2 linked regions of the Oryzias latipes genome follow. The protein of the gene in region 1 purifies or fractionates together with the protein of each later gene. This does not show direct contact. Links are inferred from orthologs where the notes say so. Each region holds a gene or a part of one and is shown in the gene's direction. Other genes may lie near its edges.

What was found.
Region 2: the proteins of ift80 (region 1) and ift57 purify together in Homo sapiens (affinity purification with mass spectrometry; 3 studies listed by BioGRID and IntAct, counting the BioPlex papers as one, with this or other methods). This does not show direct contact. The link is inferred for Oryzias latipes from reciprocal best matches to the Homo sapiens genes IFT80 and IFT57.

Annotation. Positions count from the first base shown.
Region 1 is NC_019871.2:13,452,874-13,456,692, reverse strand, and holds part of ift80 (intraflagellar transport protein 80 homolog), read left to right. Parts: intron 1-795; coding exon 796-931; intron 932-1,026; coding exon 1,027-1,174; intron 1,175-3,016; coding exon 3,017-3,188; intron 3,189-3,819.
Region 2 is NC_019875.2:10,101,615-10,106,129, reverse strand, and holds the start of ift57 (intraflagellar transport protein 57 homolog), read left to right. Parts: upstream 1-1,509; 5' UTR 1,510-1,886; coding exon 1,887-2,020; intron 2,021-2,433; coding exon 2,434-2,608; intron 2,609-2,720; coding exon 2,721-2,839; intron 2,840-3,533; coding exon 3,534-3,624; intron 3,625-3,752; coding exon 3,753-3,821; intron 3,822-4,515. UniProt on the Homo sapiens protein: Required for the formation of cilia. Plays an indirect role in sonic hedgehog signaling, cilia being required for all activity of the hedgehog pathway.

The DNA of each region.
Region 1 (3,819 bases):
ATCGCTGGGATGTACAATATGCATTCATTGCTGACATTTATATGCTGATTAAAATAGGGAGGTCAGTCAAAGTTGGATATTTTTCTTGTTTTTTTATTTTATTATAATTTTGATATTATTTATTTTTATGTACATCAAAAATGTATGTTTGTATGTATGTTAAAGTCAGTGAAACATTTTTACTCATTTTTATTTTCTTTGTTTTGTTTTTCTTACAGGTATTTGTAAAAATTCCAAAAACAACAGTTGAAAGTGATAATTGTGTTTTTGTTTTAGTAATATACACTTTTTTTCGATCTTGGGGCAACTAAATCCCAGCACGAGGGTCAAAAGTAAAATGTTGTAATTCAAAGGAATATTAAATCATGTTTGCAGGAAGTTCACAGCTGAAGAAAGATAACAGACACATTCAGAAAAATGTATAAAAGGTTTTCAGTGTACAAAAAGCAAGTGACATGGAATTATAGCAGCGCGAAAAAGATGTAGAGGTAGCAGCAAGTTGGTGTTTGTCAGCAATCTTTGTCTGCCAAGACTCAAAAGCTTTAAGGTATTGTACCAAAGCCAGCGAGCACAAGTCAAAAACACACACAGGTTCACTAACACACATTGCCATACCTTGTCTCTCTGTTTTTCGTACACACACTAAAACTTGGCAGGTTGTCGGCTTACTCTGCAAACGGTTTCTCCCTTTATTTCTTTTCCTGACTGTTTGTCCACACTCCATCATTTTCTCCTCACGTCCTTCTTACCTTGTTACTTTTGTGTGTGTGTCTCTCTCTTTTTTTTTGTGTGCAGCTGGAGGTGGTGGAAATAGCTCTGGATCAGTGTGGCCCAGCCACTGACAGGAAAATTGCACTGATAGATAAAAACCGCGACCTTTACTTGGCCTCTGTGCGTCATTTTGGGCGAGAAACCAAAATCTGCAAAATCGGTGAGTCATAAGGGGGGGGCAAAGGATTCCACCTGGAAAAATCTGTAGTGGTAGTCTCCGTTTTTAAATACGGATGTCTTTACATTTTTTTATAGGCACTATGGTGGACAATATAGCATGGAATGATGCTGCGAACATCCTTTGTGGAATTCAAGACAATCAGCTGACTGTGTGGTGTTACCCAAGTGTTGTCTTCACGGATAAGGAACTTCTACCTAAAACGCTGCACATACGAGACAGCAGGTAAATCTATATTAAATGTAACAGGTGGGTGTGGTGTAACTGTTTTTTTGTTAATGGATGATTCCTTCTTACTTACATTGTAATTGTTCTTTAAGGGCTCACTGCTAGTTATGTTAATAAAGTTTTAATCTTTTTTTTTCTAAATGTAAAATACTAATACTTGTGTATATTAATAAATTCCCAACTTGACACTTAAAGCACTTTTAAATGTTATAAGCTTTGCTTGATTTTTAAGGCTGCTTTGAAAAGCATCAATTATTCACTAGAAAGAGCTAATTAGGTTGTTAGTTATTACTTTTAGAAACATGTTTAATAGTTTTTGAAAAACATGTTTTAACTTATGAATTTTTAACTATTACCAATAATATTTTATTCATGTTAAGAAGCTAAAAAAAATGATGGTAATAATATTCACTGCATGTATAGTAAATCACAAAACCTTCATCAAATTTTATATTTTTTTGGAGCCAAAAATCTCTTCCTGTATGTATGAACACGTGTAATGAATGTTATGAAGTAAAATGCAAAAGTCCTCAGCCAGTTTTCATTTCTTACTACCAGAGATCTTTACCAGATACAGGAGTTAATTGCAAGACATACAAGAAAATACAGATAGATGAAAAAAAAATGCTGTTCAATTTTAAAAAACCTTGAGGGTCAATGTTTGATACAATCGACTTTATTCCTCTGCACAGCCTAAATCCTTTTTATCCAAAATCTCTTATAACTTCTCTAAGTAGTCTTACTGGAAGACATGCCAGGATGTTCTTTGCCAGGATGATCTGTTACTGCCTCGATGATCAGGTTTCCATTGTGTTTGATTATGTTTGTACTGCATTCGTCAGAATCTGCCATCATTGCTAGAATTTTTTTGTTTTTGAAAAAGGAATAAAGCCATGTGAAACCAGGTGTGTGTCAGGTGATACTGCATGATGGATCAAAATCTGAGAGTACTTTAGTTTTTAAACCAGCTTTCAAATATAAAAAAAAAATAATTTTCAAGTAAACTTTTAATAATTTCATCACTTGCTATTGTAAATTTAAAGTCAAATATAATACTGATTATCTGCATACCTCTACTTATTAAATAACTATAATTTGGTTACTTTTTCAGTAAAGACATTCAAAACATGATATTATATTTTAACATGATGTTATATCTTTTGTTAGCCAGTTATTAGTAAAACTTTAGTTGGTGCCTTTATGTTTTTGCAATAACTAAGTCTTTAAAATATGATACATAGTTTTACTAGACAATTCTACAATACCATGTCCTTCTCATTTTTCGGTAAAGGTACTTGGTGTATACTTATAAAGCATTGAGGAATATTCACGCATTTACACACTGATGGCGGCTCCGCTGCCCAACACTGGTGCCAAAGTTTAACCACTAGGAGCAATCTGGGGTTCAGTGTTTTGCCCAAGGATACTTCAACACATGAGCAGGCAGGGAAGAAATCAAACCTGCAATCTGTCAATCAAAGGTTGACTATTCTACCTCGGCACCTCTGCTGCTCTAGGATTTAAACCCTAGACTTTTTCTATGGTTTAAAATACTAAACACGTATAATTGTAAGATTGTTTTTAGATCGTTCAGCTACCTAAGTTTAGTATATTTATTAGTATTAAAAGGATTTAAAGAATCAGGGATTGCTAAAGACTAATTTCCTTTCCTTCAAATCCAATGAAGCAGATTGTATACAAATATAATTTGACCTCTTCTGACTTCTAATTCAGGAAAAAGCAGCCTGAAAACTGTGTTTCTGTGACCCAAAAGTGAGGTGAAGGTTTCATGTTTCAACATTTCACATCTGTGTATGTTTTCTGTGTGTCTCTGTGCAGTGAGTTCAACAGTGCGCCCCGCATTCTGAACTTTTCAGGCACCAAAGTGACATTGCGCCAGGGCGACGGTTCACTGGTGTACAGCAGTGTGCCGCCATACATTGCACTGCTGCATGAATACTGCAGCTCTGCACGCTGGGAGGATGCACTGTGTTTGTGCCGGTTAGTCAAAGTGAGTAGCCCATTTCTCCTATTTTATAGAACAAGTCTTGCATTTTGTGCGTCTCAGACATCTGCTTGGATGTATGTGAAACAGGCTAACCGAGCCATGAGAAGGTAGTCGACAGGTTTATAGAACCACAACAGCAGGCTTTAATTAGCCTGTAATTAGCCTCGTGACAGCATTTACCGGATTAACCCCCCACCCCCAGACCTCACTGTGTGACCTTGCTGTAAGACCATCTAAACGTACGCACTCCTTCACACTGAGGACAAAGATCAACGCTCTTTGCTTAACAAGAGGTGGCACTTCAATTCTGAATAAATTGACAATGTTGTAGAAACAGTATAAATAAAAAAAGTTACCTGTTTCAACTGATTTTTTCTTCTTTTTTTTTACACTGAGTATTTTTTTCCCTTGGCCCCTCCTCTTTCAACTTCTGGTAAAAGCTTGGTGACACTGTGGCTTTTCCCAGAATCCCGCTTGTTATTTACAGCTACTTCCCAGCATATAGAAGCTGATGCATGGAAGAGTTTTAAGCAACAGCCACAAACATAACTAGCAGCTGGGGAAGCGTGTTGTCTAGCAGAGATAATGGAACAGAAACAGCGTTTTTTTTTATTTTAAAAATGTGTTTTGTGGT
Region 2 (4,515 bases), on another chromosome or scaffold:
TGCATAGAGTCACTGTAACTGAAGGAACTTCTTACCCTTTTTTTCCCCTGCATGTTCTGAAGTCCCCCCCCCCCGACTGTGAAAGTGTCCTTTTGTTTTAAATGTCAGATCTTTCTCTCAGAACTACTGCAGTGAGCATCTACAGGTTCAGAGCTGTGCTTTGAAGCAGATGGAAGTGGGAGCAGCGGCAGGACGCCTCCTCCACTCCTGCGTTCGCTCGCGTGTTCTGTCACGCGTGAACACTAAAGCTATTACTGTTTGTACCTCTTCAGAGGATTATTTCCTACATTTTGTCTCCAGATGCAGAAGATGTTTTTAAAAGGAGGAAAGACATGAAGAGACTTTTCCATTTGAGAAACGTCTCACTGAAAGGACGTCGGGCCTCTTCAGCCTGACGCAGAGACGCTCTCCGTGACAAGTGTTACTCATCTTACTGTGTCAATAAAGTTCTGCAAGTTAAACGCTGTATGATGAACAAATGTGTTTCTACTTAAAAACACCGAAGTTAAAGGTTTGAACTCCTTACAAACTTATTGGCAAACTGACAAACACCCACAATCCATTATAGGAAAAACTTTTTTGGGGAATTGTTTTGGAATTTAATTAGATTATGAGGTTCTGTGCAAAAACGAAACACCCCCCCCCCCCCCCCCAAAAAAAAAAAAACCATATGCATTTAATTGTAAAGGAATTTAATCAAAGTTTAAAGGTGACATTATCTGTTTATTATCTTTTATCTATATGTAGAGATTTTGCTTCCTTTAAAAAAAAGAATTCCATTTAATTTTGCTTTCGTACCTTTTTTCTTTTTGTCAATAAGTGTATTAAAAAAGAAACAAGCACAATGATGGGTGTTATACTGTAATGATTATGCACCCCGTCAACCTTTTTCTAAAAGAAATCTTCAAAATAAATGTGAAAATAAAAAAGTTTGTCCAAAAAATATGTACCCAAAATTATGACAGTATTGGTCAAAATTATAAGGAAAGAAAAACACAGACACCCTGTTGGCAAAAAAAAAACCCAAAAAACGTATTTAATAATAATGCCTGAGCAGCATCATAAAACATTAAAGAAAAAATCAATTTAATCTGAAAATATCTTAATTCCAATGTCCTTGTAAATTTACAGCTGACCCTTCAGTTTCAAAATACCTTACATTTTAAGTTCCTTCTACATACCTAAAAAAAATGAAGTAGTTTTAACGGGTTTTTTTGGAATTTTTTTTCCCCACTATCAGCAGGTTGTTAAACATTTGTATTTTCATTTTGCTCCTTTCACTTTAGAATAACAGAAAGATGATGCACTTTAACTTTAAGCCTTTTAGATGGCTCCATGCACTGTTGGACATAAATTACCTTCTTTTTTAATCTGAGATTAAGATAGTACAATCAAAATAACAGTAGAATTTCTTGCATGGTGTATTTGTGTACAAATGCCTCAGTAAATGCAAAAAGGATATTTTCATTTTAAGAACAAAATCCCAGTCCCAATATTCAGGTCCCTCTCCCGCCCTCTAGGGGGCGATGTTTGACTCTATATTCTAGCAGAAGAAGAGATCAAACTCAAGTTAGCAAACAAATCTACCAAGTTTCTTATGCTAAGGACGGAGCCCTCGAACTTGGTCACACCCATTCTGTTTTCCAGACAGTTTGAATGTTGTTTTGTTGCTGTTGAGCAAATTCTCAATGCGCATATTTAAAGTTTAAAGGGAGGAAAAAGAAATACGTGTTAAGAAAAGGGCTACTTAGCTTTCGGTTGCTAGGCAACGGGCCTACAGTCAACCTGAGCTAGCAGAGCAGCGTGTGCTAATCGAACAAACAAGGCCCCAGAAAACATTTATTTTTTTAGTGGATTTTAAAGCGGTTTGAAAAGTAGCTGGGCTCATGGCAGAGGAGGATGAGCGGGGCCCGGGAGCCGCTCACCGGATGGTGTCGGTGATGGAGGGACTGTTAGAAAAGCTCGACGCTCTGAACTACGAGGAGCTTCTGGACAAACACAACATGAAGAAAGTGTGCAGGTCAGGAACGAAACGAGCCAAATGACGGGTTTAAGCTGAATTTCAGCTCCCTGAAGACGACGTTTTGAAGCAGAACACGATAAGAAGCAGTGATGATATCTGCCGGAACAGAGCTAATAGAACAGAACCTGAGCTGGACCGTCGATTGTGTTAAATGAAAAAAACAAAGACAAAAGTTGAAAACAGCTTTGATCACATTTTGTACTTTTCCCGAGCACTAAATCTTTATTTTTATACAATTTTAAATCAATTTTAAATACACTTAAGAAAATAGCAGTAAGTCTACAAATAAATGCCTAAAGTGTAATACATCTTTCCAGACTGCTTATTATTGAAGTTGTCTTCCTAAATGTGTTTCATTTCAAACATGATCTGATCTTGTGATTCATGTATCTTCTTCCTTCTCTTCCCAGGCACTACTTTGTCTCCAACTCCCACCTGTCCTCCAATCCGGGTGAGCAGTTTTACATGTTCACCATCATCGCTGCCTGGCTCATCAACGTGGCAGGGAGGCCGTTCACCGAACCCCGGGAGCACGACGAGCCCAACGCCACCGTGTCCAACATCCTGGCGGAGCTGAGAGCCTTTGTGAGCTGCTGTTTCACATGCAGATGATCCAATATGTCCCTTTCTGTGTGACTTAGACTCTGATCTCAGATGTGTGAGGACGACCTCTGACTGTGACCCTGGTGGGTTTCAGGGCGTAAAGGTGGACTTCCCTCCCTCCAAATTGAAGACGGGCTCAGGCGAGCACGTCTGCTTGGTGTTGGACCGACTGGCCGACGAGGCTTTGAAGAGGAGAAACTTCTCCTTCAAAAGGTGCTTCTGCTCTGCTTTACGCTGGGACATCTTTTGGGCCAGACACGGGTTCTAGGCTGGTACTGGAGCCAGTTCAAGACTGGAATGAATGAAGCAGTTTTACAGCTGCAAGGTTGGAGTGTCTTTCTTCTTGGGTCCCAACAATACCGGTTGTGGTCAGAAGTCAGTTTGGTTAAGTTCAGGCCGCCACACCTTAAAGATCTCCGATTAAAATTGTGTTTGTGGTGTTTTTAATGTTTTGTGGCATTTTTCTCATTATAGAAGACCTATATGAAGAAAGTAAAGCATAAAATGACCTTCCTGAAGCTGCAATATGGCTCCCCATATTTTGTTGTACCGGTGATGTTAGGTTGGGGATGTGAGGGACTGTAAGCTAGTGGAAGAGAGTGTAAAACAAAGGGATGATGGGAAATGAGGACAGGCTTTCTCTGCCCCAATAGTCCCCCCCACAACTTAAAGGTGTATTTCTAATGAACTGTTGCTGCTCTGCAGAAACGATATCCTAGTAAAGGACACTTTTTTTTTTTTAATTTTGGCTAAAATCTGCACCATCATAATTAAAAAAACACTGGGGGACACTTTTACAGTACATCAGATAGATCACTGTGGTGGGACTTTACAGATTTGACAACAGCGAGGCCTCACTGGCTGCTCCAGTTTGAGATGAAGTGTTCTTCTCCCTCCTCCCCTTTAGGCCAGATTACCCGTCAGAAACCCCGGAGGAAGAGTCGATGCTGGAGGACGATGCAGAAGTCACACTCAGCACAGCAGAGGAGGAAATATTGGTCAGCACTTCACAGAGAAAAATGCTGACAGCTTATTTCAACGCCGCTTTTGCAAAAACTGGTGTCCTTTTTGTTTTTCATTCTTGTATTTGATTTTTTAAAAGATTGTTTTCTAATTGTGACTTCAGGAGGAAGATGAGGATGAGGAGGAAATTGCGATGGATCTGGAGTCTCTGAAGTTGCGGAACTTCCACAATGTGAGAAAAACTTGTCTTTATACAGACAAGAGAGAGCACTCCCATTGACTGTAGATGAGAGCTGGACTGAGTGACTCCGCCCCCCCCCCCCCCCCCCCTCGCGTTCCTAATAGGAAGGACCCGCTGGCTCCAAGAAGCCAAAGACTTCCATCGATAAATAAACAACTCTTACTCAGTCATTCTATGTGTCAGGATGACCATTATTGCTCTGATACCTTTTTAATATGTTCTTCATAATCCAAATTTTTTCCCTCTGATATTTCTTCTATGATTCAATTTATTCAAGTTATAAACCGACCAATCAGGTGCCTCAATAAAAGCATGTGTCCTGACATTGAACGTTCAAAACGTTTGACAGATTCTCCCGAGCCGGCTTTAAAGTGCTAGGGGTGTGGACTTCCACAAGCTCACTCCTGATTGGCGAGAGTGGTTGCCATAGAAATGATGACTTTGATCGATTCGGTCCTACCACTCTGACGTCCTTTGGTTTCAACGTGGCGGCATCCGTTATGCAAAAAAAAAAAGGCGACTGAATTGACTTCTTTTGGTTGGGGCTGGAAGTGAGGCATTTTCTACCACAGGGGTGGGCAATTCCAGGCCTCGAGGGCCGGTGTGTCTGCATGATTTCAAGATAGCCTTTCCCTACTCATGGCTGATTACCTGGTTCAGGTGTGTCCAGCCAATAATCTTGCCC